Lytechinus pictus: one gene and its partner. The protein of the gene in region 1 purifies or fractionates together with the protein of each later gene. This does not show direct contact. Links are inferred from orthologs where the notes say so. Each region holds a gene or a part of one and is shown in the gene's direction. Other genes may lie near its edges.

What was found.
Region 2: the proteins of spastin-like (region 1) and nuclear pore complex protein Nup133-like purify together in Homo sapiens (affinity purification with mass spectrometry; 3 studies listed by BioGRID and IntAct, counting the BioPlex papers as one, with this or other methods). This does not show direct contact. The link is inferred for Lytechinus pictus from reciprocal best matches to the Homo sapiens genes SPAST and NUP133.

Annotation. Positions count from the first base shown.
Region 1 is NC_087251.1:7,941,783-7,958,322, forward strand, and holds the start of spastin-like, read left to right. Parts: upstream 1-7,819; coding exon 7,820-7,865; intron 7,866-8,460; coding exon 8,461-8,547; intron 8,548-16,540. UniProt on the Homo sapiens protein: ATP-dependent microtubule severing protein that specifically recognizes and cuts microtubules that are polyglutamylated.
Region 2 is NC_087251.1:11,268,136-11,283,512, forward strand, and holds the start of nuclear pore complex protein Nup133-like, read left to right. Parts: upstream 1-8,881; coding exon 8,882-8,984; intron 8,985-15,377. UniProt on the Homo sapiens protein: Involved in poly(A)+ RNA transport. Involved in nephrogenesis.

The DNA of each region.
Region 1 (16,540 bases):
CGCAATTGCTGGGATAACCCTGCTTTTTTGCAGGACCAAATAATCCCGTACTAAAGGTGGGGTTAGCCCACTTTGCAAAAATGCTGTGTAAAAAGAAAGTGGGCTAAACTTACTATAGGTAGGGCTAAATAACAATTTAGCCCCACCTATAGTACGGGGTTAAGGAAATTTTAGCGTGTGTAAAAAGGGTATTTATGTCTTTGAAGGAAAGTGATGTTGATTGGCCAGAAATGATAAAGTGGTCCCCAGCTGTGAAGGTGTATACTTAAATACTAGTCATCAATCAATATCAAATAAGAAACATACAACTATAATTCAATCAAGCTATGAGTAATCATTGTAGGTAAGCATAGCAGTCAGTTGTTGTTTTATGAATAAAAGGAAATAACAAATTTAATCAGGCTAGAGATGCTAATATATTTGACTAGTAACACTTTAAAATGAGTATTTTTTTAAATTGTCAAATTCTAATACATTTCTTTTAATTTTTTAAGTTTTGTTTTGTTTTATTCATTGTATACCAGTAACGCTGAACTAAATAAATATCTCAAAACAATAGGCACATTGTATGTACCCTGATGTTACCAGTGAAGCTGTTAGTTTGATGCTTTCAAGGAATGAGGTCTTCATTAATACCTTCTCTTGATCTAGTTTGATATGTTGCAAATAGGGGAAATATAAAAAAAATGTGTTCTCTGTGACGCTTCATATCGTACGATTCAATCAGTTACCCCCCCCCCCTGCATTTTGCCTTAAGAATTGTTTTGCTCATTTTGATTTTTATCGCTCTTTAAACCTACAATTCTATATGATGGAGGACAAATCATTGGTGGTCATCTGAACGGTCGTATTACACATACGATATAGCAAACCCATTTCAGAGAAAATATACTTCAAAGTTTGCTATAATTTTCACATTTTGTTCCCCAGCCTTACAACATTTCCATTGCTACATGTAGAAAAGTACATGGTTGGAAAGACCAAGACAATTGTTTGACAATGGTATCTTTATTTAAAACCAAGAATCAGAGAACATATATCGCAAAAGAGCTACATGCTTGCAACAAAGTGCAAATACGAAGGTTTTGCTGACCACGCATATTTTGCATATTCAATGTGCGCGGATGTTGTTTGCTTTACTACGGTACAAATTTCCAATGGGATTTACGATTTTTATAACAAATTTCTATGGCATCGCCGTGAAAATCCCCAGATATCTCAGAAAATGTTTAATAAATCGCTGCCTAGATATTTAATTAGGTATAGAATAGGACTTGTAATTTAATTTTCTGCAAAAATCTCAAAATCATTTTCTCAAACCAAAATTGACTGAAAAGACGGTTTGGATGAACGCCGATGAAATATATGATGATACATGATTCTCTCCCTCACTCCCTGTCCCTCTCTCCCTTTCTCTCTCCCCCCACCCTTGTTCGAACATGTTCTTTCCATATTATCTGTATTTCTCTCCCTGCATCTATTTCATCTGAGTAGCTCCATCCATTAAGGTATACATGTCTATCTCATCTTATATTCTGAAGAAAGGCCCCAGGCTTGATATGAATGATATTTATAGCTCTTATCATGGTTATAGCACTGCCCTTATGAATAATTGATCAACTCACCCATCATTTCTGCTCCATTTCCACCCCAAGCATCCCTACGCAGTGACCAGTGACCAACTCTGTCATCAAGGTGTATCGGTCAATTGACCAGTTCGGAATCCACTTTGGCAGTTATGGCCACTTTAAAGATTCAAAGAATGGCTTTGATTTTTCAGATTTCAACAACCTGCTACTACAATTATAAGTGGATTACTATTCAAAATTGTTGAAGACAGGAATGTCCATTAAGGAACATCTCTTCTGAATCGTTATCAAGTTTTCACTGATATGCAGTTTGAAATAGAAGAACATTAGCTAACAGCTAACACAGTCTGTACAAACCAAGACTTAATTCAGAAAAAAATAATAAACAAGCTTTAGTTATATGTTTGACACGCCCTGCTTCTACTTGACTATGAGGAGTTGAGGTGATTGTATTAGTACTAATTTCCTGAAGGTACAGTCCCAAAGGAAATAGTTTTAACGCAGATACCAAAATCCTTTGAAAATGTTAGATGGTGTCTGAAACAAACATACCCCTCATTTCTTTGTGATAGCTACCTCAACAGCATGCTGATTTAGTTAAAGAGAGAACAATAAAACGAATGCAATACCAAAAAGTTATCAATGTAAATCAGTTGTAAATTGATGACCGACATTAGCCAAGTAGAGAAGAATTAGCCAAAGAACTACTATCAATATTTATCCTTCAAAATTATTCGGAAGGCAAATGGTACAAGGTTTAACATTTACTTACCACTGATTAGAAAGTGAGATCAGTATGATATTCCAGGGGAGCAACATGACTTTTCATTTGCAGTAGAGTTTTGCAAGTCACTGCTTGGATTTCTCCACAAGGCACTTCTGAAAAATACTTCAAATAAAAACAAATTTACTCAATTACATTACTCTGGTGATGATAAATAGGGGGGGAGGGTGCATTCTATTCCAATCATGTCAGTTATGACCATAAGAAAAAAAGATAATTGATTCCTGAATATTATAGTCCAATGGTCCACCCTCAGAATAATTGTCTTTTTAGATCAGTATCTATATAATAACAAAAATCTTGCTGTGCAGGATACAATGAGTAAATTAATGTTGAGTGTGGTTTGAATTAAACATTACTTTGCTGCTACATTATCTCTTCAATCAAGAAGTTGTGCTTCAAAAATTGAGTGACAGCTTTTTTACGAGAGTTAGCTCTTATCTCCAGGGAACATTGGTGAGGGTTAGGGGAGATGGTATTGTGCCTGTCTGATAGCTACACATTAGCAGTACATTAGCTTCACATGATTGCCATCAACCCATCTATTCATCACAACATTATGACTTCATGACTGTGAATGTTAATGAGATGGTTAAATGAAACTTCTCGCTTGTAAAATCAATGTGTTTGTATGCAAGGCCATGTGTGCCTATTTCCTGGTGTTTCAATCAATGTGGTAATTTCTTACTTGTTTAAAATTCTGCAACTAATATAGTAAAAAAGAGTGTTCTTCATTGCTTTAGATATACAGTCCATGAAGACATGCAGAGAAAATATCATCAAGGTTTATACTTTTATTGAAATAGATCCCATTTCTGGAGCAATATGGTTTAAAACTTAGAAAACTATCACTGAAAACTAGCAAAGTAAATGTCCAAAAGTTTACTGTGGCTTAGTTGTCTTTAAATACAATGCTTAGGGATCTACTTTCAATAATCATTCCCATTGGTTTATCTATATAACGAAGGTGAGGAGTGAGGAATAGTGATGGAAAGATGCTTATGGGATTCCTGTGCGAAAGAAGAGACTCTAACTTTTTATTAGCTGCCTTATACCTCAGACACATTTGCTCTACGGCAGCCGTACGATGAGTTGAAAACAACAGTTTTAACATTTTTTATAATAGCTACATATAGGTGGTTTGAATAAAAATGAATAAAAAGTATTAGGGTGTGTTCAATGTTGATTTTCAAATTTAAACGGCAGCATGAATCATGTTTGAAAACTCAAATTACGAAACACAGAACACAAACACAATCAGCGGTGCAGGGTTCATTGTCGAAAATATAGCTGATTATTTGTTGACCATCTTTAAATTGCCCACTTTGTTAGCGCAGCTTAAGTGCAGTTTGACCCATCACAGTAAAGGCAAATTCTGGCAACTATTTGTGTAGGCTTCCACTGTGAGAGCAAATTTAAAGATGTTTCAGTGTTGCATTCACGATGGTGAAGGTCGTAAAATCTATAGCTGATCGCATTTACAAATGCGTCTTTTCGACGTTTAAATTTTCCTCCAAATTATGATTTGAGAGACGTTTACTTTTACGACTGGGAATGGAGGAAATTGAACACACCCTTTGTTTCTCATTATATCCGCTTTTTGTAATCACGTTTTTGATCATGATTCATGTTGCCATTTAGATTTAGAAACAGACATTGAACACACCCTTAATGGCAATGCTTGTGTATCAGCAATAATAATAATATGTGCTTATATAGCGCTTAACATTCACTTTATTATGAGAAGTCTCCATTAAAAACGCTCTACGGTAATGCAGCATGATTACCCTTGCTTTAGCAGAGCAACTGTTGCATTTCAAGGATTAAATTCCCACCAGGTAACCATTCACCTCACCTGGGTTGAGTGCAGCACAATGTGGATAAATTTCTTGCAATGTGAGATGATTGTTGTGAAGAATTGCAGAAGATGGGCTCTAAATGGTATAACCCACTGGGTGAGAAGTGTGATTGAGATTCATATATTCACTCATGAATGATTCAGTTTTACACCTTTCATTCTGCCTTTCGTTGATTTATCGTAACCTTCATGGTTGACACGATGGCATAATGAACGCATCGTTGCTTAAAAGCCGACCCAAATATTGATTTCTCCTTGCACCACTGACGAAACTCTGGGGATCGATGAAACTGTGAATGAATGAAAACTCAAACAGGATTCGCCTTTTGGTGAGATGGTCTTGAATTCTGATTAAATTTTGAATTCATTAAAGTCACTGACTAGTTCAAATCCTCATTTTCCATTCCTCTTTTTTATCCTGCTCCATTTAATCTTTTCTTGTAGTTCTATTCACTATTTTCCCATAGTCAATAATATGTTTTCATGTTTATTTCCATCATGCTGCAAAAGATATTAAGTAATAAAGTGTTTAAAAAATAGACAGGGTTATAAACAACACCACAAGAGTAAAAGATAGAGAAAGAGCTGTTGAAGAGAGGTTCATCGAAAACAAACCGGACAGAATAGAGAGGAGCAAGATGAGAGAGATACCAATGTGGAACTTTCAAACATGGTTGATCTCTGTAAAATGGATTAGTCTTTGGGCATGCTGTCCTATCATATTGCAGGTTGCCATGTAATCGTCATACTTTTTTCATATACTTCTAAGAAGAAGATGGAAAAGAATGGTACAAGAGAAAGGGTGTGATTAAGTAATTGAAGAGGTGCCCACAGGTTTTTGGGAGAGGATGTTGTTCCTTGGGGAATACTGGTCTTTGAGCTTGAGGACTGCTTCTTTCGTGACGAGAATGGAAAATGAAAGGTTGAGGAGGAGGGGAATAGATGATGAGTGGAAGGGTAAACCTACAGGTGGTAGTTTCGGCACACGGGTCACATGATCACACCCATGTCTCGTCACCTTCAATGGCCCCTCCAGCATTGTTTTCTCATGTAAGAGCTATAGTGTCGCCAGCATGACTCACGTAAGCTCAGGTTATTATGAATATTCATGATGAAGCCTATTTTTGACCAGTTTGTAAGCTTTGTACAGTTGCCAATCAAGAGGTTAGTCTTTATTCATCATAGACCATGCATTTATGACTGAACAATTAAATGATGTAATTTCTGCTAGAAGGAGCTGTAATTCATTGAATCTTTACTCCAGTCCAGATTCAGCTTTTAATGAGAAGGTGGCAAATGGGCACACTAGCAGGAACATCTGTGTTCCTATGAGCAAACTCATGTGTATATATTGTAGCTTGAAATGATCTTATTTGCTGATGCTGATGACAAAGAAAATAAATAAATACACCCTAAAACAAGAAGTATTAATAAACAATTTGAACCAACCTCCTTAATTGCATTTTGTAGTTGATTAACTCAGATAAGAAGTTTATATTCATATTTATTTTGCCGTCTATTCCTTTGTCAGCTGGTATTATTTTCACATTGTGAATTGTATCCATATTTCCTCCATCCTCCCCTCCCACGTTTGCTTCATTTCTCCCACCATCATGTCATCATCTCTTCTACTCTTCATCTTCTGTAACGGTCTCACAGGCCTAATTCATTCCCCATAGACTCGTGTGTTAAATTGGCACTTTAAAAAATTCATAAAAAATAAGGATGAAATTCGAGGGTCGAATGTTTACTACCAGTGGATAGGATATATATCTGGCAATCCATATCTGACCAGAAAAGGGTCCCTCGACCGGCTCATTTTAAAAATAAATTGGCGTGTTTGAAGACACCATCGGGGGGAGCAGATTCATCACCTCAAACAGCAAAATAGCCCTAATCCTTCCGCCAGTCAAAATATAGTCCAAAATTGATGATATTTCTTCCCAATTTGGGAAAAGGAAGTTCAGTAATTACCAAAAATAGAATCAGTGTTAGATGGACAATCATATGCATACACTTTGTCAATCAGCCATATCAAAATAAAAAAAATAGCAATGGGTTGGCTCGAATGAATATCTCTTGCTTTCCCAATGTTAATAGGCCCGTGAGGCCTGTAATGTATGGCACATGAATGTTTCTTTTTAATTTACCTTCCTGGCTCTTCTTTAACATCTGTACACTCACTTTATCACAAAGAAATGCATGAAATATACAGATGTGTTATGTAATTACCAATTCTAATGTTACTCCTAATGTCTAGTGCCCTATGGATTTATACACATCCTACCTGCCTATATGTAGCTCAACAATGGATGCAATGTAGGGCCCAAATCCTATAATACAAATTGTAGATATGAATAGTGTGCATATCTGGATGCAAGATCTGCCCACAATATAAATACCAGATTCACATGAGTTAAATTAGATAACAATAAAAAGAAATGGGAATCAACATACAAGCATACTAATGCATTCACATCTTCCTATGACAAGGGCCCAAGGGGTGTCAGAGAGACAGGGAGAGAGGGGGGTTAGATGGCTTGTATTCTAAATGGATGGGGGCTAGTCTGGCTAGAAGTCAGTAAAAGTTGAACAAGATAGCAGTAGCACTCATTCTCAGCCCCCCCCCAAACATACTAACTATGCTTTTCTCTACCCCCCCCCTCCCTATTGAATCCACCACTCTTCAGTCAAATTCTAAAGTTTCCTCTTCTCCTTCCCTTCCCCATGGACCAATTTCACAAGTGCAATTGATGCAAGGCCTATCTAATGTGTACTATATCTTGTGATGGGTGCTATACACAATTTACAGCAGCACTCGTCGGTATACGAAAACACACGACAACATGTAACGCAGAGACAAACACCCAGCCTACACAGCCTAGCCTAGGTACACAAACACAGAGTTACTAATACAAATTTGTTACCTGTTATACCCCCTGTAGCCTTGTATATAGCCATGAAGTTGAGTTTTGGGACCTCTTGATGATTGAAACATGTATACTAGTGAAAGCAATCTGCTACTGAAGAGTTTGGGCAGGTATTTCATCAACTAGGGAATTCCCCTTGTAATAGGCTATGGTCAAGGTTAGAGGTCTCACAGGCCTAATTCATTCCCCATAGACTCGTGTGTTAAATTGGCACTTTAAAAAATTCATAAAAAATAAGGATGAAATTCGGGGGTCGAATGTTTACTACCAGTGGATAGGATATATATCTGGCAATCCATATCTGACCAGAAAAGGGTCCCTCGACCGGCTCATTTTAAAAATAAATTGGCGTGTTTGAAGACACCGTCGGGGGGAGCAGATTCATCACCTCAAACAGCAAAATAGCCCTAATCCTTCCGCCAGTCAAAATATAGTCCAAAATTGATGATATTTCTTCCCAATTTGGGAAAAGGAAGTTCAGTAATTACCAAAAATAGAATCAGTGTTAGATGGACAATCATATGCATACACTTTGTCAATCAGCCATATCAAAATAAAAAAAATAGCAATGGGTTGGCTCGAATGAATATCTCTTGCTTTCCCAATGTTAATAGGCCCGTGAGGCCTGTAACTGGTGGAATACATCCATGATCAAACCATGATGAGAATTGTTGCAGGATCATTGAATTCTAGCCTTGAGCTAGGTATAGATTGAACCCGTTAGTAATGCCTTCCCAAGTTCTCATTATCCATTGATGAATAACCTAAATCCTTTAAATGAGATACCTCCATCTTTGTGTCATTTGTAATCTATGTCAGGATCCTTCCAATTTCTTAGCATTTACAGCAATGCAATTTTTTTCTGTTGTTGAATATGTGTATTATGATGAGAGTTTTTACACTTATTGTATTTGTAAATAATAAAATATTTTCTTTATTAAGGGAGAAATTTCATATATCTGCTTAAAGTAAATGTTTGAATGAAAGTGAGATAAATCACTTTTTTATATTTAATTTAATTACATTAGACTTAACGTTCCATTAAAAACACATTTACATATTGATTTTCTGGAGTCTATAACAGATAGATTAGATTAGATTGTGTTATTGGAGAGTTGTGTTCTCTTGGTTTTTCCAATCAATGAAGTTGATCACAATGTTCTATACTCTTTGATTGGGTGTTATCACTTAACATAAATTTAATCTAAAGTCACCTTACTCTTTGAAGTTTTTTTGTACAACCTGTATTGATTTTTGTTAAATTTTATTCTTACATCTATTTCCATATCTTTTATCCAGGAATAGAATGGGAGAAAGCCCGTAAAATACAAGAAAAGATGAAGAAAAACCTTACGATGGCAAAGGAAAGATTGAACATCTTAATAAGTAAGTAGAACTCATGATTAATGCGTTTGTGTTAACCTGTTATGAAAAAAATTAAAGATAAAGAGATCAAAATTCAACATTTTCAAACCTTGTATATTTGCACAGTGCAGTAAACAACCTACCATTGAAGTTGGGAAGATCAATAATGCATCAGATCAGAAACCAAATCAATGAGATGGCTCTTTAAAAGTCTTGTTAATGCTACTAAAACCCTATGTATTATGTGACAGGATTATGTGATTTTATTAGCCTTGAGGGGTATGCTCACTTTCACCAGCAAGTGGAATATGATGTCATTAGACTACCAAGGAATAAGAATTCAAATAAAAACAAAACTACAGTCGAGTGAGATTTCCAGTAGCTTTTAATGGATAGACTGAAGTGTGTTGCCATTATGTTTCTGTGAAAGTGTGGCTTGCTGTAGGAAAGGTTTGAACTATCTTTGAGATTAGACATGTTTTGCTTATGATTATTTTCAAAAAGTCCTTCACCTAATCTTTTAATATTTTAAACATGTTCAAACTTGTTTTAAGTTAATAAAATTAATTTAATGAATCATTATCAACAAGAGTGATTTTTTTATTTTATCAGGTAGCAAATAGTGATGCCAAAAAGTTGCTTATTCGGTCAATTGTCTGCTCTGTATGACTCAATTAGATAGATGATTTACATGTATAGGGGTGATAAATCATCTTTTTTTACCCTTTAGTCCCATGTGTAGTGATTCATGATAGGGAGATTGTACTATCTCCATAACCAATCAGTTCAAGGTCCCACAGGTCAATTCCAATAAAGACCACAAGGTCTTGGTGATGATACTTTCTGACTTTCAATTTAAGGTCTTGATTGGCTTCATAGAAACAACGTTTTTTGAAGAAAAAAAATTAGTTCATATGTAAGGGGCCTATCAGATGTTCATACTCTATACCTTTCAATTCCTTCAATGTCTCCTAATTATTTTGGGCCAGTGGTATTTTGTACATGCATGTGAGTGATACTTTGACAAGTAGTTTAAAGTTTGGTAGGGAACCTTTTTTAATCAGCCTTATCCTGGAAAATTAAACACAAAAAATATTGGACCAAATTCAGGCGGAATTTAAATCTCCTTTGTGAACTCGGGCCACTATGTTGAATTACACTTTAAGAAGGTATTTTGCTCTTTATAGAGTTCTTCTCCCCATGTCTACATCTTATGAAGATAACATGTGTTGCATGCCAAGGATTAACAAGATTTAGATGTGCTATCATTATGCTGAAAAGGGAAACTCAAGGTCGTTAAGGTACTGATGTTGTGAGTCTTGTGACATACATTACTAATTATCAGATCAAAATTATCATGATTTTATTCACTCTAATTCTACATCTTATGATGATAGTAGGCACGGGCTGTTGGTAGCTTTATGTTTACAAGTAGTGAAGAATCATTGTTTAAATTGACATGTATGATGATTTCTTAACATGACTAATGAAATCAAAATAATTGTGAATAAAACACATGAAAAATTCTTAAAACATATTTGGTCAAGTAATGATAACTCACTGCAAAGGTGCACATTTTGTATTATTGGCATTCTATATCTTTTGGAAACAATACTGTACATGTATATAGTACATACATTAAAGCAAAATGACTGGATAGTGGATATATTGTCTTAGTCTGAACAAGATAGGGATTATCTACCAAATACCAATCTTTACTATAATTGTAATTTCTGAATTTATAATGCATAAGGATACAAAGCGTGTGGTGACCATTATGTAGTGTGCATGTTGAGCAGCAGAACATGAGAAAGTGTGGGAGAAAGGGAAAAGATCTCAAGAAAAGTTGCTGCAAGCTAATTGCATTTTTGTTTATCCTTTTGATTCACCCACTGTTTACCAGCCGTATTCTATCACTGCATGCCTTCTGATATTGCAACATTATCCTCCAAGCTTTCTTGTATTACACTACCCTGGCTGAATATGGATCCAAACATGGTTACTATGGCAACAAGTTATTACCACGCTGTATTCATTGTTCATGGTTGCAGACGATAAATGGTAGTGCGGGATGAACTTAAAGAGTGTTTGCAGTGAGATATAGATTGAAAGACAATAGATCTGTTACTGGATTGCCGGATGGTTAGGAGAAAGGGTATGATTCATCGCAGAAGAGTCATTACATCACAATAGACCTCTGGTAAATTGTAGTTTTGTATGAATATGGATGGTTGATTGGTCTTTATTGTATCCAAGGTAGATATCAACTTGGTTTGGTGGAAGCAGGATGATGTCATTTTACAATCTAGTTTGAAAAACTGGAATTATATTAAGAAATGATATAATGTCTTAGCTCTACAGAAAGAGTATAGGGAGGATAGGGAAGAGAGAAGAAGGGGGAGAGAGGGGAGGGGGAGAGAAGGAGGAGAAGAAAGGAAGCAAGGAAGCAGAAGTGCCCTTAAACTTCAGTCCTATACCATTATTTCTTTCTTTTTCATCAAGCAGGTATCATGGTATGTACTCGATTCTGACTTTGTGAAACATTAAATTTACACATTTCATTAATTTGTCATTGCATAAAAGAAAGTGTGTACATGTATGTGATAGAGTGAGAGAATGGGGTTTGAGTAGATGAATAAAAGGTATGAGAAGAGCTGAGTCAGCATGTCATCATATCAATAGCTTGGAAGTAGAAAGGAGGTAAGTCACTTCACAAGATAGACTACAAAAACCTTCTGTCTCTCACCAATGGTGTATCTTTCATGTAAATTTAGCAGAAACCTTTCAAAAGACATCGACGTTATTACATGTGTCTGTTGTATTTCAATGATGCACCCATGAAAATGTGAGGATTTCCCTCAATTTTATTCATGAAATCAAGAAGTTCCTTGTTGAAAGCCACACCAGGAAAATAACTGACTGAAATAGAACAAATATATAAAATGTTACATTATATGAAATACTGCTCAGTGCAATGACGGTTATATATTTTTTTGGGGTGTAGAGCTATGTTACTGGAATATTGTTAACATTGGAATACAATGATTGAGTAATTATAAAGTGAATCGACAGTCTACCCAAAAAATTATGAAATGAGTCATTACAAAAATGAAGCAAAATTATCTGTAAAAAGTTTAAACATGGAGTGAAGAAGCATCAAGTACAAATCCAGGATTAATGATTTATCGGATGACTTGGATTTTCCTTTTTACCAAAGAATATGAATTATAAAATAAAAAGTACGTGGATTATATTTCAGACCTACAACCTAAGAAGAAAAAAAAAAGAAACTAATTAATATTATAAGAATGATATGAGAGCATATATCTTTCCATTTATCAGAAAAATAGAAATTGTTTAAGTTCATACCTGATGAAAACCCAAGAAATTCGATACACTTGTATTATAACAGATTATGTGATGAAGTTAAAGCCACGTCCTTTGGGTATATACCTGTTCTTATAATGCCACTGTGTAATGTCATGTTACAAGAATGAGAATATGATTTTATTCATGATTCATCCGCGATAATGTCAATATCAATGCTGTTTCTCTGTTTGAAGATGGTAAGGATACATCCATGGGAGTTTGGTTAGAGTCTACATTAATACAAGTCATACTATGGCTGTGTCTATTTACAATGCTTTTAGTGTACCCCCATCCCTCAAGGTGTCACACACATAAAAGAAACTTTTATCAAAATGCTGTTTGATGGAACATGACATCATGAGGATGTGTGTCTCGATCAATGCAGGTGAACATTTTTAAAGAGCTGCATGTACCTGACTTACATTGATGAATCCAATTTTATATTTACAAAATCTTCATTCAAGAGATGATGTGGAAGAACTGTACTATTACTGTTCATCTTGGCAATCATCAGAGCCTTATATATTTTCATGATGAAATGTGAATCTATTTCTATCTTTCTACTTATACCTGAATGTCAATCAGAAAGTTTTGTAGTCTATTTAGTTATTCCATTATGAATAGGATATAGACAAGAAAGGGTTATGTATTAAAGCTATATCCAGTGAAATAAACTGGGTTAAATGACTGCACATTTTTTTGGGGGGGGATGCAAACCTTTACACTAAAATCAAATTAATGAATTAAGTTGACATTGAAATACAAAATAAAAGGAGTAAGTCTTTATTTATTTTTTAATCAAATTTTAATTTTCATGCAATAGATCAAATCAAACTAAGCTTTTCAATATTTCAATTATATTTAGTTATTAATCAAAAGCCATTGTCTGACAGCGCTTTGTTGATAAGCGAATATGTTGTAGGATCAAAGGATTAGTTGTTTATTCAATTTTTCAGAATAATTGGAAACTGGATGCATACATGTTGTATCTAGTACTACTGTTGGATAGCTTGAGGTACTGTATACATGTACAGGGATAATGAATTTTAAATGAGTAGCCTAACTGATGAATAGGGGTAGGCATATTGCTAAATTAACAAGTATCTTTGTTTGCATTTTGTATTCCAGGGTGAGCTGTTTGTATCATGCACCATGCATTAGATTTCATTCGTTTACCCCCCACCCCACCTCTGTGTGTCCATCTCTCTCTCTCTCTCTCTCTCACACACCCACGCACACACCCTCACACCCACACTCCCCTTCCACTTCCCCTTTACTTTTATGCTGTATTTTATTCTTTCTTTTCAATTTTAGGGGGTTCACAATTGAGGAAAAAGTAAAAGGCCACAAAAATATCAAAGGCCAATGTGAGGGTAATTATAAGGCCAATCAATACTGCATTCAACTCTATGACTTGGTGTCCTTCAATTAGATAGTCCTGACATGTTCCAATTTTGGAATTTTACCATCTCCTAACATGATGAGTATTCCTCTTGCTATCATTCTTTCTTATTCTTTTTCAATATTCCCTTACTGTCCTCTTCCGTTTCCATCTCCATATGTTTTCTAATTTCTCACATTATTCTCACCCTATACCCTCTTCAACTCTCCCTCAACTGTCCTTCAGCTAAACCTCCCCCCTTCACACTTTTACTCCCTATCTCATCTACTTTGATCTTTCTCCCTCCCTTTGTCATCCACCCCCTCAGAACAAATCCTCAACCAACTTCCCTCTCCCTTCTCCCGACCATCCTTCATTTTCTCTCCCCATCCCTCTTGCATCCCTTTAGCCCCCTCTCCTCCTCGTATCTTCTTCCATATCCTTCTCTCCATCTATCACCCCCCCTCCCCTTGCTCATCCTCTCTCACCCCCTGGGCTTTTCATACCCCAGTCTTCCCCAATCCCCAGTTTGCCATCTCCATCTTTTGAGTGAGTCACTCAAGCCTTCACTTGTTGACCAATATATCTCAGCTATAGACACAAGGGAATGATATTTCATTATTATCATATGAATTATTTAATTAGGTCGGGCGCAACTGTCAATTAAAATAGAGACAACTCAATCTTGGGTCAATGATTGCCGTAGGAATCTATGAAAACCTACTTAATGTCGTCAGGGTTGAAGAGAATCCGCCAAGCGATAAATATCTCGACCAAAAATCAGTGTGGTGGAATTTATATCCTCAAATATGATGCATACTTCTACTGTGTGGGAAATGAGGATGGAACATCTTATTATTTGATCAATTGAACTTAACAATAAAATACTGATTTACGTAGTCCCTTTTAGATCAATCTTGAAGGTGTACAATATGATAAGTTGCTGGTATTTATTTATTTTATTATCCGTACCTATATCCAGTTGTTTAAACTGTATTCATCGTCCAGTTCTTTGATATATTTGTCGAATTTATTTCCATATTTTAGTTCAAATTTACATTTGCTATCCATATACTAGTATTGAATTACATGTTAATTAGAACAGTACTATTCTTAACTTACAATTGTGAAGTCATAAAAATGTGAATCCAATAATTCTCTTAAAAAAATAAATTACATGAATTCACAGAACAGAATACTTTTCAATTTATTACCAAACATATTTTTGTAATAAATTTCAATTTGTCGAGCCCTTGGAAATTTAGTTACTGATGAGAGATGGGTATTGGCAATTTAGAATGAATGAAATTGAAGTAAGAATTTGAATACTGTTTTCAACTTGAAAACCTAAATATCCAATTTGTTTCAAATCATACTGACAAATCAATGCAGTAATACCGGGAGTGTGATCTCTTCTAAATCCTTCGCATGTTACCATCTTAGTGATTGACTATCACGCATGATTGATATTATTGATTGGCAGTTTATTTTTGTGTATCTTGATCTGGCTTGTTCTTCCTTTGAAGTGGTATGCATTAAAGGACATCTTGATTCTATTATTCCTTTGCATTTACTTTTAAAATTCAGATATGAGCCTTAATAATTTACAAGACAGAATAGAATATGAAATCTCTGCTTGTAGTACCAATAAGAAAAAAAAGTTCTATATTTCCTGCATTTTATTGCGATTTGTTGTTCAATTTTTCACTTAGTCAATTTAAAACAGGAGCCATTTTGTCATGTGTGACCCCCAAGCATTTTGGTTGTGCCAGTAACAAACAATAGTAATTTTAATAGTCTCATCTGCAGAGGTCAGCTTATATGCCTAGATACTCTAACATACGGGTATACACCCATAGCAGGCTTACTGAGTGGGAAGATGCATAATTTGAATACCCACTAATGAAGTGTTACAACCAATGATTCATACACTTGAAGTACAGTCATTAGCAGTTTGATTTACACCTACATGTATTCATTGAACATAATGAGTGTGTTTTCTACATTTGATAAATTTTTATGATAACTATAGTCTATTGCAAGAATGCATAAAATTCCTTTTTATAAATTACGATACTATTCCTGATTTGTTGAATCTTAGTGAATACAATTTGTTTAAAATGAAATATCAAATAAGATTGCTCAATTTTTTTAAACAAATTACAAAGAATACTTCCTATTCACATGTATGTTCAAATGACTAAAATGAAGCCTACATAGTCAGATTAGAGATTGGTGCATCCTCAGATTAAAATACTGAGAGAATTAGATGGAAGACTGATAAAGATTGAAATAAACATAATTAAATCAAATTTAATCATGATGAATTGCAAAATGATGATCATCGAGATAGGTTCTTCTCATTTGATATTACTCTGTTGAAACATGTTTCCCTTTCTTAAATTCAAAATATTCAAAGCAAAAAAAAAGGAAGAAATCATATATTTCCAGAATAGACAACATGTATACACTACTTTCAATAGAAATAGATGGGTATTTACACAGAGAAGCATTTTGAGGTACCCTCTTGAGATACCGTTGATGGGAGAAATAGAAGCAAAGGAGAGAACTGGGTCACCATCCAGTAGCTCTGAAGTCGCTGTCCTACTCTAAATGGCAATTTCTTGTGAATCTCATAACCATGAGTGCAGGTGGGTAAAGAGAGCTGTGGCATTCAGGAATGACCAGAGATATTGAAATTCATGTAAGAATTAAGGACCTATTTTGACTTTCATATGGACATGGCTGGCTTGATGGTTGAAGTGATTTTATTGCTTTGTGGGAGCCAGGCTGTACTCTAGATGAAGCCAAATAACAAATTTGGTATTAAAATGGGAATATTTGCTTGCCAGGTAAAAAAGGAAAACATCTCATGACTTGGATTTTTTCATTAGATTTATCTTGAGGTACCATTTATGACATTCATTAGTTTGACTCACAGTTCTCAAGTATTCTCCGGAAAGTTATTCTCACTTTTGAACATTTTTTAAAAATAGAACTGTGCTATCAATATAAAATGTGCAGACATGAGTATGATGCTGCAAATTGTATGGTCATCATCATGTTTTATGAAGCATTATTCACCTGTCTATGAAATAGATCTCATTTCAATTTCTAAGAGGGGTTGGAATTAATTAAAATTTAAATATTTTACCATGTTGTAGGTTTAAGCTGCTCATAATCTACAATAATCCTGTAATCATGAAGCCTCTGCATTATAATCAGTTCAGATCTTCAGATGATAGCACTGCTGATAAGAACTGT
Region 2 (15,377 bases), about 3.3 Mb from region 1:
AATGTTTGACTTATCGCAGGCATATACTATACGTCAGTATGTTTCTAAAGTCAAAATTGACGAGAGAAAATGGCCAGAGTTCAGGTACAAAGTGAAAGTTAAACAAGATGATAATTAGTTTTAAACTTTGATCATTCCACTATCGAAGAAGTTCGGTGTGATTTCCTTCATGTCTGTTCTTTAAGACAGGATTTTTCCCCACTTCATATTTGAATTCATGTTTTCCATTGCTATTATTTTTTCTATCCGCATGAATCAATAATCACAACCGGAGCATGCAGTAGGTGTATTTTACCATGGACCTTATACAAATTCGAAAGCGAACACTGTTTGACATGCATGCATGTATACAAGCAGTGAATATACATCAATAAGGGTAAAGAAATGTCTTGACAAAGAAAAATGGTGTAACCTAAACTGTAGGTTGGCATATGGTATTTTGAAGGGGCCGCAGAACTGGTTTTTAAAAATGGGGGGGGGGGGGGTGGACAACAAATAGATGGAAACTCATGGGGCTTCATGTGATACCGTTACTGTCATATTTCTGTATCTATTTGAGTAACATATTTTACTCAATAATATCTAATATGATAGTCATATCATCATGGAAACATGATACAAGTTTGGCTTGTATTAATGTATTATCTTAAATAATCCACGTATTGAAGTAATAAACGATATCAAATTCATTGAGCGAAAAAACCGACTTGTTAATGCATTTGTTGTCATTCAATAAGATTTTATTACCTCCAGATTTTTTGTTTTTTAGGGGGGCTCCCTCCCCCCCCCCCCCTTCATTATAAATAACGATCGTCTTTATCCCTAAGGAACGGTCAACATGGTCAATGGTAAAGCTCGGTTGAATAATCTGTCAAAAAAAGTTTTTAAAAATATATGCCCCGAGTATATCTGAACCCACGAGAGTTATGCCTAACAATCACTTGTTGATACGTAATATTTACTGTCATTAAAGGTAAATATCAACCTCTCTCTCCAAAGATAAGCAAATTTCGCAAGTTCAAACATTTTTATTTTTACACACATTTAAAGAAGATATGAGCAAAATTGACCGGAATTAATTTTATTCATCTGGTCAGGATGTAGAAAAATTATGGAGTTTTAATCAGAAGTACTCTGTTGGAAATTTGTGATAGACATGCCCCATTTATATCAGTGCGTCTTAAGCAAAGAGGTGTACCATGGATTAATGATGACTATCTGAATCTAGCACGAGAAACGTGGAGGAACGTATCAAATATCAATATTATGTTCTTGCTTTCAAAATACAAAACGATTTAGCCACAGCCTATCTGGGACCACTTATCTGCAAACGTAATGTAACTTATAAAACACGATATTCTAAACAACGTCCCCTTCAAATACCATTATAAAAGAAAATCTTTTGAATATGTTGCTGCCGTCTTATTTAATTCGCTCCGTTGTGATATACAAAAATGCACGTCCCTCCATTATTAAAAAAACACTGTAAATCATAAAAATTCTGACTGTCATACATGTAATTAAATTGAATAACTTGATGTTGATGTAATGATTCCATGATAATTGTTGATTCACTCTATCTATATAATGTATGCTGTTTTTACTTTATTATGTTACATACATTGAATTGTTATGATGTTGAGTTATTTGTTAAACTGCAGCTAGGCGCCTTTGGAAAGCAGTTTTGCATACCTAAACAGGCCTACCCTGCAGTATCAAATAAAGAAAATCAATAAATAGATAAATGAATAAATATATAAATAAATAGATGACTGAATAAATAAATAAATATAGTTTTTGTCTCACCTGCATAGCAGAGTGAGACTATTGGCTCCGCTTTTCCGACGGCGGTGGCGGCGTCAACACCAAATCTTAACCGAAGGTTAAGTTTTTGAAATGACATCATAACTTATAAAGTGTATGGACCTGGTTCATGACACTTGGACATAAGGTTAATCAAGTATTACTGAACATCCTGCATGAGTTTCACGTCACATGACCAAGGTCAAAGGTCATTTAGGGTCAATGAACTTTGGCCAAATTGGGGGTATCTGTTGAATTACCATCATAACTTTGAAAGTTTATGGATCTGATTCCTGAAACTTGGACATAATAGTAATCAAGTATCACTGAACATCCTGTGTGCATTTCAGGTCACATGACCAAGGTCAAAGTTCAATGAACTTTGGCCAAATTGGGGGTATTTGTTGAATTACCATCATAACTTTGAAAGTATATTGGTCTAGTTCATAAAACCTGGACATAAGAGTAATCAAGTATCACTGAACATCCTGTGCAAGTTTCAGGTCACATGATTAAGGTCAACGGTCATATAGGGTCAATGAACTTTGGCCAAATTGGGGTATTTGTTGAATTACCATCATAACTTTGAAAGTATATTGGTCTAGTTCATAAAACTTGGACATAAGAGTAATCAAGTATCACTGAACATCCTGTGTGCATTTCAGGTCACATGACCAAGGTCAAAGTTCAATGAACTTTGGCCAAATTGGGGGTATTTGTTGAATTACCATCATAACTTTGAAAGTATATTGGTCTAGTTCATAAAACCTGGACATAAGAGTAATCAAGTATCACTGAATATCCTGTGCAAGTTTCAGGTCACATGATTAAGGTCAACGGTCATATAGGGTCAATGAACTTTGGCCAAATTGGGGGTATTTGTTGAATTACCATCATAACTTTGAAAGTATATTGGTCTAGTTCATAAAACTTGGACATAAGAGTAATCAAGTATCACTGAACATCCTGTGTGCATTTCAGGTCACATGACCAAGGTCAAAGGTCAATGAACTTTGGCCGTAAAGGGGGTATCTGTTGAATTACCATCATAACTTTGAAAGTTTATGGATCTGACTCATGAAACTTGGATATAAGAGTAATCAAGTATCACTGAACATCCTGTGCGAGTTTCAGGTCACATGACCAAGGTCAAAGGTCAATGGATATTGGCCATGTTGGGGATATTTGTTGAATTGCCATCATAACTCTGTAAGTATATTGGTCTAGTTCATAAAACTTGGACATAAGAGTAGTCAAGTATCACTGAACATCTCATGCGAGTTTCAGGTCACATGACCAAAGTCAAAGGTCATTTAAGGTCATTGAACTTTGGCCATTTTAGAGGTAATTATTAGATTGCTGTCATTACTTTCAAAGTTTATAGATATAGTGTATAACATGTGGATATAGGGGTAATCATGTATCACTGACAAGTTTTAGGTCACATGATCAAGGTCCAATGTCAATGAACGTAGTATTGTATCATTATATGAATGGTGTTTTTTGTGAATAATTATTTAAATTGTGTTTTTTAAAGTCAGCACTGCTGATGCAGGTGAGACCGCCAGAGGCATTCCACTTGTCTATCAGTTTGAATCTGTTCCACATGACAATTCACTTCTTTGGTGATTCAAGCTCTCCGTCGTAACAGAGTAAGTTACAATACATGACGATATTCAATATTTCATGCCTGGTTCCAATAAGTAATTTGACCCCCCCCCCAAAAAAAAAAAATGTCATACGATGTACAAAAGCAGTAGGGAATTTGTAACATTTTCCCATCGATAGACTCGGTCTTTGGATATTGTTATGCATCGACAGTTTACTTTAAAAGCTATCACTTCTCAGGGAAGGCTGTATCAATTTTTTTATTTTTTTATTTTGCTGTTACCCTCAAAATCTAAATTCAGGGGAGTAGCCGGGGGGCGGTGTGGGCGGTCACCCAAACCCCCTTAAAAATCCCCCCCCCCCAAAAAAAAGGAAAAGGGGTGAAAAGGTAAAAAATGTGAAGGGAGAAAAAATAATAAGGGTTTAGCTTTATTGGTTTTCTTCTTTATTTTTTTTTCTCAAAAGAATAAAAACCTGAACGAGACGTATTCTCTCTCTTAATTCATACAAAAAAAGTTTTGCTTACGCGCTCTGGTAAAATTACAAAATTGTCTTTCCCTGTTCTTAATTACACCCCTTTTCTACCCCGTTTTCCCCTCCCCAGTTATTTTACCGTACAGTATAAAAGTATACATTCGCGTACAGAATTACGTAGAAGCGGGTGTGTAAAGTATGAAAAGTTATCTTATTTATTTCAAATTGATGATTTGTGAGGTAAAGATAATTATGGCTATTTGATTTCCGCGCTACCGATCGGAGCGGGTAAACACCGTCACTCCCCATATGCTATTTCTTCCTCTATTTAGCAAGCAATTTTTGGCAGGTATCTGCTCGTAGGGGCAGGCATTAAATTTATACCATGCATGCTACATACAAAAATAATATATGCGATGAAACTTTATTCTATATCCCTGTACACCATCCCCTGTCTTGTTTGCGCCCTCAATTCACGTAATTTTAAATTTTGAATTGGAAGCACCATTATGAGCAAAATTATATATATATATACTGTTCGGTTTGTTGGGTTTTTTTTAAATATAAATCACAGAGAATTCCAAGCTTCGCGTGAGCCTGAAGCGCTTAACCATTGTGTACTCTGTTTTCTTCGTAATCAAGAGATACAATATCAGAAAAATCACTTGAATTAGACCAGGTGAAGGTGAAATTTCAGAACTTCAACGCTTTAGTCAAGTAACACCCCAACATAACCGTCAAGTTGGGTATGGCTACGATTTTTTTTGCTGGAAGTTGTAGTATAGAGTGTCTACTCCAAGAATCCGACGGGTGCCACCTGGGCACCCTTGGGCATTTTTTTTTTATTGACGTCATAGGCCACGCCCACTTTTTCACATACCTCTTATATATCATTTTCATATTTTACGGAATTAACATGTCATGTTTGGTATCAAATTAAAGTTTATGAAAAATCAAATGCAAATATATGGATTACTGTGTATTTAAATCACGCATAGGTCAGTTATAGGTCGCTTAAGGTCATAAATTGTCAAATTGCCTTACAAATATAAGTAAGACATGTAATGCGGAACATACCATGATTTAAATATAAACAAGTTAGGTATTATATGCATTTTTTTTGCAAAGGTTAAGTTTGAGAGTGTGAATATTAAGAATCCGATGGATGCTTCCTTGGCATCTTGAGGAATTTTATTTTTCTGACGTCATAAACCACACAAACTTTCAGTTACATTCCTCTTTAATATGACTTTTCTATTTAACGGAATAAACATATTATGTTTGAAATAACATTAAATAAAATGCAAAATAAAATCCACATAATATGAATTGCTACCCATTTAAAACGTGCCCAGGGCAATTAAAGGTCATTTAAGGTCATAAAAGGTCAAATTGGCTCACAAATGTAAGTAATGCAGCAAATAATGTGGAATATATCATGTTTGGAATACAAACAAGTTAGGCATTATTTATGTAGGTCTATTTTTGGCTGAAAGTTATGTTGAGGATGTGCAGATTAAGAATCTGACGAAGCTCGGCTGCTTTGGCAACCTTGGGCAACGTCATTGTCTGATGATATATTTTAATATCTAGCGTACAAAATGAAAATATCATGTTTGGTATCAAATTAAAGCTTATTGAAAATGGAATGTACATAAAGGTTACCCAAAAAATGAAGCACATGTAAAGGTGCCCTTTAAGTCATTTACACGCATGAAATGTTGATGATTGCTCGACTTTCACAGGACTTATACAAAACGTTTAATTTATCATTTTGTATCAAATCATTCCATGGGATTCCAAATAATCTACACCAATTTAACATCTTACACAATGTCCTGTTATATTCCTCTCACAACTACCCTCTGTACCATAATTCTTCGACCGGATGCTCATTATGATTCCCCTTCACCAACAACCTCAACTACATGCCTCTGCCAGATATGTGTTACTTTGATTCACACTTGCAGTATGAACTATGAAATACGTGATTCGACGGCCGACCAGCAACTGCATTAATCTTTAAAAGTTGTAGAACAGGGTGACGCTGACTTGTATCGACAAGGAGGTTCTTTTAATTCCTTGGGAACAACCACTGTGTCATGAACAAGTACGGAAGGTCCAATGCCCTGTTCCACTATCTTCTGAAGATGTAATGGCAATAGATGCATGTAAAAAAATTCTCTGACGACACTAACCTTTCTGTTCTACCAGTCTTCTCATTTTGGGCTTGCAAGTCTTTTGCATACTGATGGAAAAGTAATTGGCATTAAAGGTATTGCATTGAAGTTTAGAGGAAAATACTAGCCTTGCACGATTCCCTATCAGGTTGTAATACAATGTTGTGTCAATTTGGCAAGGGAAAGTTTTCCACTTTAAACTTGCTGCTCGAATAATATCTTAATATATAGAGTCCGATGCTGAAGAAGTGGACTGGATGAATTAAATGTGTAATATTCATACTCTTCATCTTGCTTTACTAATATAACAAATGTAATGGTCTCTCTAATATAATTCACATGATTTAGCAAGAAGGCAGATGCTTCAAAGATCATAGGCCTACCCCCAACTGACAAGTCAGCAAAAGAGCATGATTATCAAAGGTGCTCTTCCTCAGGAGCTTGATCAGGAGAGCAACTGATCAGAATTACTCCCCTGCAAATTGCCTCCCATGCATCGATGGGAAGTATAAGTTAGGAGAACACTCCTGTACCTGTTCATAGCACATTAGTTACTCCCAAGGAATAATTATCAGAACTTGTTCCATGTGGATTTAAATCGGGGCCACCATGCTCTAGGGTAAGCATTTGCCTCTTATCGTGTATCGTACAGATCGTATGTAAATAACATTGTGTCATTCTAAACACAAGGAAAACTGAACATGCAGTTGAGACTAAAGAGGGGGAAATCAGTCTGGAAGATGAATGAGAGAACAACATGATAGTGGAGTTAGGAGGATGTAAAATGTCAAATTTGTCCAATTGGATACTTGTCTAAAATGTGAATTTGTGTTGAAGAAGTCATTTTCTGAGGTGTCTCCAACACGATTGATCTTAAACTGGAAATTGTGTGTTATACATTATTTACTGTTACTGTATATGATTCTGTCCTTGATTATAAACTAAAAAAAAACACTGTGCAGTTTTATTTCATGTAGGAAAATTGGTGATACGATGCCAAGCTTATGTTACATGTTTTTATTAAACTCTTGTTACATTGCCTGACATCATTTGACCTACCTAAACATTACTGCACTTTTGGTGATCTTGTCTTGTATTTAATCTCTTTTAACTTTTATAATTGCATTTTACTTGCCATAAGCTTAAATTAGTTAGCAAACACGTTAGGTTTATTCTATAAAGTGTCACTTTCTGTCATAATCATGATAATTACTCATAGGCCATATATATGTGAAAAGTGGGCGTGGTTCGTGACGTCAGATATAAAAATTGCCAAAGGGTGAGCAGGTAGAACTCGTCACATCCTTAATATACACACCCTCAACCAAACATGAGATATTCCACATTATATGTTGCATTTATTACGTTTGTGGCCCAGTTTGACCTTTTATAACCTTAAAATGACCTTTAATTGTCCTGGAAAAGTTTTAAATGCCTAGTCATTCATATATATGTGGATTTTATTTTGAATTTGATTTAATTTTATATCAAACATGATGTTTATTCCGCTGAGAGGAATGTAAGAAAGCTGGTGTGGTTTATGACGTCACAAACTTAAAATTCCTCAAGATGCCAAAGTAGCACCGGTCGGATTCTTGATATGCACACCCTCAACTTAACCTTTGCCAATAGATTCACATAATATCCAACTTGATTGTATTTAAAACATAATATATTCCACATTATATGTACTTCTTACATTTGCAAGGCAATTTGACCTGTTAAGACCTTAAATGACCTTTAACTGACCTATGCGTGATCTAATTGTCCAATGATCCATAAATGTTACATTTGATTTTTCATTAGCTTTAATTTTTTATACCAAACATGTTTATTCCTTAAAATATGAAATTCATATTTAAGAGGTATGTGAAAAAGTGGGCGTGGCCTATGACGTCAATAACAAAAAAATGCCCAAGGGTTCCCAGGTGGCACCCGTCGGATTCTTGAAGTAGACACCCCATACCGGGCCCCATACTACAACTTCAAGCAAAAAAATCGCAGTCATACCCAACTTGACGGTCATACAATAATGTTGATCAAATCTACCCGACTATTATGTCAAAATCTATCACAAAATAGGATTTTTGTAACAAAAATGTCGAAATTTTTGCTCGATCACAATGAATTTTACCGTAGGCCTATATTAATCTGTATCTGGCCTCCTTAAAATCTTTGGCTCATTACATCATCGTTCTCTTTAATGTATTTTTTTAAGTTCAGAGAGGGGAGTTTGTGATCGATGTGATGAGCTAACAATTTTGAGCCGGGGCTAGACATGGCCTATGGGACATTTTTATTTTCAAGCCAGCAAGCAAAATATTTGACCTCTTAATAAAAAAAAAAATCTAATTTTGTGATAAATTTTAACATGATTTGAATATTATATACACCTTTCCCTTTCAGTATCATTATCATTGTTAATGCTACTTTTCATCATTGATGTTGTTGTTATGAATATGATATTGATGATAGGCCTAATCATTGAAAAAAATATACAATATGAGCCCTATAAACATTACAAGAAAAAAGAAATTGATTGTTATATACGATAATAATCACTACCATCATAAATGTTCTACCGTGCATTATTGGGAGATGATTAAGCAGGTAATGCCCCTTTTAATTAGGGGGATATCCCTCCCCCTTGGATCGATACAACTTGGGATTTATTTCGGATAAAGGAAAATATATAAGACAATTTGTGAATGACATAATTCGTATGTGATCTATATCCCTCGCATATTCACGCGGCGGCGACGCGGGTAATTTGGTGAAATTGGAAACTGGGACTGGTCAGGGAATCGACGCCAATCATGCAGAGCTTTCAAGTTATTGAAGAAACACCGCAGTACTGTGTTGAAACGTTTGGACCATCGCTTCCTGTCCTAATAACAGAAGTACTTTTACAAGCTGATCGTAAGTGTTAATTTTTATTTTTGTTTAATTCGTCAATACAAAGTGCAATACAAGTGAATGTGTTGTACGGTACCATCTATTGAAATCTGTGTAGGCCTACCGGTTTTCATTAAAACCTTATCGGAACGTGAGGTCTGGATCTTGATTAACGTTAGATTGATAAGTATAATAACTGAGACAACGATAATAATAATTGTTATTATAATAATTATAATTTTAATAATACTAATTATGATTAATAATTATTGAGACAACCATATTAAAATAGGGTGTCTGGAGAAAAAATTATTTTTCTTATTTCAAGAAAATATCACATTTTCTTTGTGAATTTGAAGAGAAATGACCTTCAGACTGACAGAAATGTAACATTTTTGAAAAAAATCCAATTATTGGCTGCAAAAAAGAAGAATGAAATTGGGTAAGTTTTCAGCATTTCTCTGCCATAGACTGTGTAGTTAAGAAATGGACACACACAAATCCAAATTTTTAGCTTCCGAGAGCTGTTATAAGTTTATTATTAATGCCAAAAACTTGTCCATAGTGAGTCCAATAGGATTTTTTATGCTCTATCTGATGGTATGATTTTTATAAAGATTTGGAAACCAGATCACAATGAAAAATTGGGACAAAGTGAAACAAATCGTGCAAAACAGAAATTTCATTTTCCCATAGAAAACGCATGGAGAAATGGCAATCTCAACACACACAAAAATAAGGGTTTGCAATTTATCTCTAAATATCCTTATTTAAAATGATCATATAAACTTGTCCTTACTATCAAAAGAAGCCCCTGAATTTTCTCTTTCCATACATGCCAAACACAAGTTAATAATCAATTCAGATCACATTTTTCTAGTAGCCTGAACTTCCCCCCCAAAATGTGCCATATTTTCCCCTAAATTAGCCTGTTTTATGCTGACACTTTTCAGTGTGGCTTCAGACACCCTAATTAAAATAATGTTAGTGAGACACTTTCTTTGACTTGTCTTTGACTGAGGCTGAGCTGAGTCTGAAGTGAGACAACAAATTCACCTAGGCCTATAGGTATGTTGCAAAAAAAAAAAAAAAAAAAAGAAGAGAAATGAGGTGTTTGCTTCATAGCATCATTTAGAGCTGATCAAGAACTTTCATTTAATACCTCATTCATTTCAAGAGCCCCAGTAACAAGAAAGTTATGGTAGTTTTAAGTTCGCACAAATCGACTCTTCAATTTGTTTTTAAAAACAAAAGTTGTGATCTTAATTGGGACCAAGGTGCACTAATATAATAGAAAACAACAATGCGCATACATTGGCAAATGGAAGTGCCCAACAACACTCCCAAAAATTACAGACATCGCCGAAACAGGGACATAAAAAACACACTTAGCGTCAGCAGATTTCTTTCAAATTTCACCACAATGTAGTTGAAATGTTGTTCTATCGGAATGAATACCTGTTAGAGTGGGATGATACCTGTAATTGAATAGCAAGAGGTTGAAAGCAAGGCCAAAGTTCCAGTAGCACACAGAGCTGCAAGATCACCGAGTGAGATTTTTGTTCAAGTCTAGACAGCTGCCATAAACATTCAACTACGTAAAAACAATAATGTCATTGGGAATAACCTTTTCTTGCACATGCAAACACAATACAAAGCAATGCCCCCCCCCCCCAGTCACCCTGAGATTATAGGCAGCACACTCAATGCCGCATTCAGAATGCACCTAGAGGTAGGGCGCTTTTGCAACATACCTACAACAAAAAATTTATGAATATTTAGAATTAAGTTAGACTAGATCTAACCTAACGTCCATGCGCAGTGAGTCGCCATTGGCAATAATCGGCGATCTTCAACCTTCAATTTTGCACCAAAAAAAATTCTTACCCAAATCGTCGCCCGAGAAAAATGGCAGCTAAAATTCGCACCGTACGGATCCAGTTTGCAAGTCTGACTTTGACTGCGCTAGGGCTAGGACTAAAACCCGAGTACCCGGGTCTCGCCCGGAAGCCTCGGGTACCCGGGTAGAAAAATCAATACCCGAAAATTGCTTACCAGTATTTGATTTGTATTGCGTAGTGTAAGACATGATTGTAACTCATCACAAAAGTACACAAGTCTCATTTTGAATCTCACCAATTACCCTCGAAATATCCATAAATATACAAGTTTTTCAAGTGATGATGTGACTGAGATCGTTCGATCGTCGCCATGTTTCTTTTGCAGCTTGAGCATACGAAGCGCCAGCCAACCACGTTCGTGTTACTATTTTCAGTTCATCATAAACTGGAAATAAGGTTTATCGCTAATCAGAATTGCAATGCATCATGGGATCGAAAAGGGGACCGTTAGCTAGCTCTGCACGTGCGCAGAGCTTGCTAACGGCCCCCTTTTCGATCCCATGATGCATTGCGGTTCTGATTAACGATATACCTTATGGTAACACGATCGTGATTGGCTGGCGCATTCGGCGCTCCAAAACTACCCGGAAATCAATTGACTCTGTGCATGTAGCGATAGATTCTACAAACTCACGAACACGATGTAATATCGACGCTACTTCGTAAGATTTTGACGGAAAAGCAAGAAGTAATCAAAATTTGCTTACCTGTGTGGTATCGGTGAGAAAACAGATCCTCTGAGAAAATATTTCATAAATAATATGAAATATAGGAAAGTAGAATTCTAGGTCGATTTTGGTACGAAGTGACAAAGTATTGCAGACTTGTTTTGATGGAATAATGCGTGGGGCACGGGAGGCTTGCACTGCGCATGCTTACTATATTTTCATTCATAAGTTTGCTTGCGGCGCAGTGGCTGGATGACGTCACCTATGGGGTTTTTCCACCAGTCATATTTCATGCGACATGATTTTCGGGTACCCGCCCGAAAATTACCACGGGTACCCGAAGACAAAAATACCCGAAAGTCCCAGGCCTAGACTGCGCTAAACTCCTGTTTCTTTTGCTGGATCTTTTAACCAAACGTTGCAGCATTTCAGGGAATTACTGAGGATTAATGTCAGATGCCACAAGACACTTTTCAACATTGCAAATAATTTCTAGAACCATTTTGGTCAGAAAGTGACAGGTGAGTGGCGCAACAATAAAAAATTGCACATGGTGACTCACTGCGCATGGACGTTATAGATCTGATCATGACGGTTATCAATCATAATTAAAATAATTATTGAGACAACAATGATAATAATGAGACAATAATGATAATGAGACAATAATAATATTGTTTTTATTGAGACAACAATAATAACTTCTTTTTTTTATTTGATAGCATTTATTCCATTCATCATAAAAACAAATACAAGGTACATACAAAGTTTACATAAATTACATGGGAAAATTGCAAATATTACAATGATAAAATCTGGGAAACAGTTGAATTAAAAGAAAAGATTGTACATGATTTATAAATGAATGAGGAGGCAACTAGAAAGGGAAAGCCTTATTAGCGCTGCCACCTTTACAGAATCTGGAAACTGAATATATATATGATATTGTAAAATACATGATGTAATAAATACTGAATACCAGATATAAACATTGAACATAAAAGGGGAAAATACAAATTATAACATTAAAAAACTATAATGATTATGAAGAGGATCTGACTTCAATACCAAGTATTCAGAAGAAGACTCGGACAGAGCTGACAGAGATTGAATTCAGGGAACAAGACATAGAAGAGATACTGTCCAAGCTTGGACATTAATAAGTCTCCTGGCCCAGATGGAATCAGCTCCAGAGTATTAAGAGAAGTTTATAAGGAGATAACTAGTACATCATTTAAGATAATCTTTACGAATCTGATGGAAGAGGGTACTGTTCCTGAGTGATGGAGTCAAGCTTAGCCAGGAGGTTCCTGGAGATTAATGTCATATCACTGACGTGCTTAATCTCCACGGAGCCAGGGATGGGATGCCATTGCTCTATGCGCACCAAGTATTTTGGCAACAACAAAGTTGTTGCCAAAATACTTGTTTTCTTAAGGGTTTTGAGCCCAAACTTATGTAAATGGGCTACAATACAATTTAGACCCTTTTTTAAACTAAAGGGTCATATTGTAAAATAATATTTATTATCAAAAAATTGAAAATATTTAAAGTAGAGGAGCGTTTACTCACAGTCTGTTATTGTCGCCATCTTGCCATCTTTGTTATAGCCTAGCTATAAGACGCGTATAGAGGGCGATAATATCATGAGCAGTGCCCAAAAAATACTTGCATCGGCCGATAAATATCATGAATCGTAAAATACTTGCATCGGCCGATAAATATCATAAAGATCTTGAATGTTTTTAAATTTAGTACATTCCAGTATATATTTTGGAAAGGTGGTAAGCTGATTATATACACTATTATTTTCTCTTTATTATTGCGCCCCTTTTCGCCCATCAAAAGGGTGAATTAAGTAGTAATCGAATCTTGCGCTCCCCTTTCTCCATTGATGCTGTAGCTAAGCGTTGGTCGAACCTCCACCATTACGAGCCCAATGGCCGTCATTGGTCGATTGACGAAGGGGATACCGTGTAGCCAGACAAAGTCTTAGCGGAGCATATCCCTGACAGAAATAGACCTATATATCGGTCTAGATCTGGATGTGCACAGTGCATGTCATAAGTACGATGCGGGGGCGCATTTAGCCTAGAGGACTCTGATGATATTTTTATCATATTTGTCTTTTCATCACAGAGCCTAGACACTGGGGCTACAGACCTGCATGTCGTACATGGTAAACAATGACGGATTTCCCTTGAAAATCCATATTTACATGTACCACATTAATTTTGGGAAAAATAGAATTAACCTTGTACTGTATTCCACTTTAATCCATATAAAGGATTTAGAAAATATCAATAACAAAAGATGAAATTAAAAGGTTTCTTACCAGACAGACCTATCTCTTAATTGCAGCTACTAAATGTTCCCACGCTTTATAACACAATTGGCAGAACTCGCTTCCCATTGATGTAAGGACGGTGAACTACCGTTATGAGGCACTGTTTGTAACACAATTTTATACTCAATTTATTATTTAACAAATGATAATTATTTGCATCACATTTTAGTTGTGAATAATTATGTATAAAAAGTATTTTGAAAAAGGCACATGGTTAGCATGATTTTATGAAGTGACCTAAATCCCCTGTTTTTGTAAAAATTAGCAGTTTCTGAAATGCATACTTGTACTTCTTTTCAAATATTAAAAGAATAAAGTCAAATTTTGCATCTTATGAAAGGGTAGAATGTATGCTTTAAATTGGTGCAGGGTGCGACATAAGCGCTTGCCCGATTGCCCGGGGCAAGTAAAAGTTAGAGTCGGGCAAGTGTTTTGAAGCAAAGTCAAAAACTGATTGCCCGAATCGGGCAAGCAAAATTCTCCTATGGAAATTATATTTTACTTAGAAAGATTCCCCATGTTTCACCATCAAAATATAGAAAAGAAAAAGAGACACAAAAAAGGCAATATCATTAATTTTCTTCTTTCAAAAAGTCTTAAGTTTTGTGGCGTGGCGGTCCGTCGTCTGTCGTCAGTCACACAAAATGCTTCTTCTTTAATTGTTGACCGATCATGATTCGAATTGCAAAATTTGCGCCATTTTCTGCAATTAACACACAGCTCAGAGACGTACACACACACACAGAATCAATGACAGTCTAGCATACCTAGCTAGCTAGCGCCTAGTCCACGCAGCCGATGCACATGCATGTAGTTTCTACGGAGTACGATGCTGCACGAACGAAGTTTGCTCTGGAAGAAATCTCCTACAGAACTGTCAAATTCACATTTCTTACCAATAAAAAAATTCATGTAATGTCCATATTTCCTAAAAATTGGGGTAGCTCTGTCATTTGTAAGCAGTAAAAGGAGGATTTTCACTTCTGTTATGCTTCAAAAAGATTGGGTTTCGAATGATCGTCTGTATCGCACACACAGAAATACATTGTTTTGACAGTCCCACATATGCATTGTGTGTATGTTGATAAACGTGGTTTCTTTCGTAACTGTTTTTTTTTAGCCAAGGAAATTGATAAATTTTCTTCTTTATTTATGACTGGATAGTTTGAGCTTTCTTCCTCTCTATTTTCTTTCTTTCTGCCTATCTCTCCTTCTTTTCTTTTCAATCTTTCCTTTTGGATCTCTCTTTATTTCTTTAAATTTCCTTCCTTCTTTTGTTAATTTTTTCTGTTACTATAGCTGTCTTTCTTTTTGTCATTCTTTTCTTTCTATCTTTTTATCTTTCTTCCTTCCATTGATCCAACCTTTGTTTACCACTTTCTTTAATCCTTCCTTCTTTTTCCCCTTCCTTTCATTCTTTCTTACTGTCTTCCTTCCGTCCATCCATTCTTTACCTTTTCTTCCTGTCTTTTTTTCTTCCTAACTTTCTTCATTCCTTTCA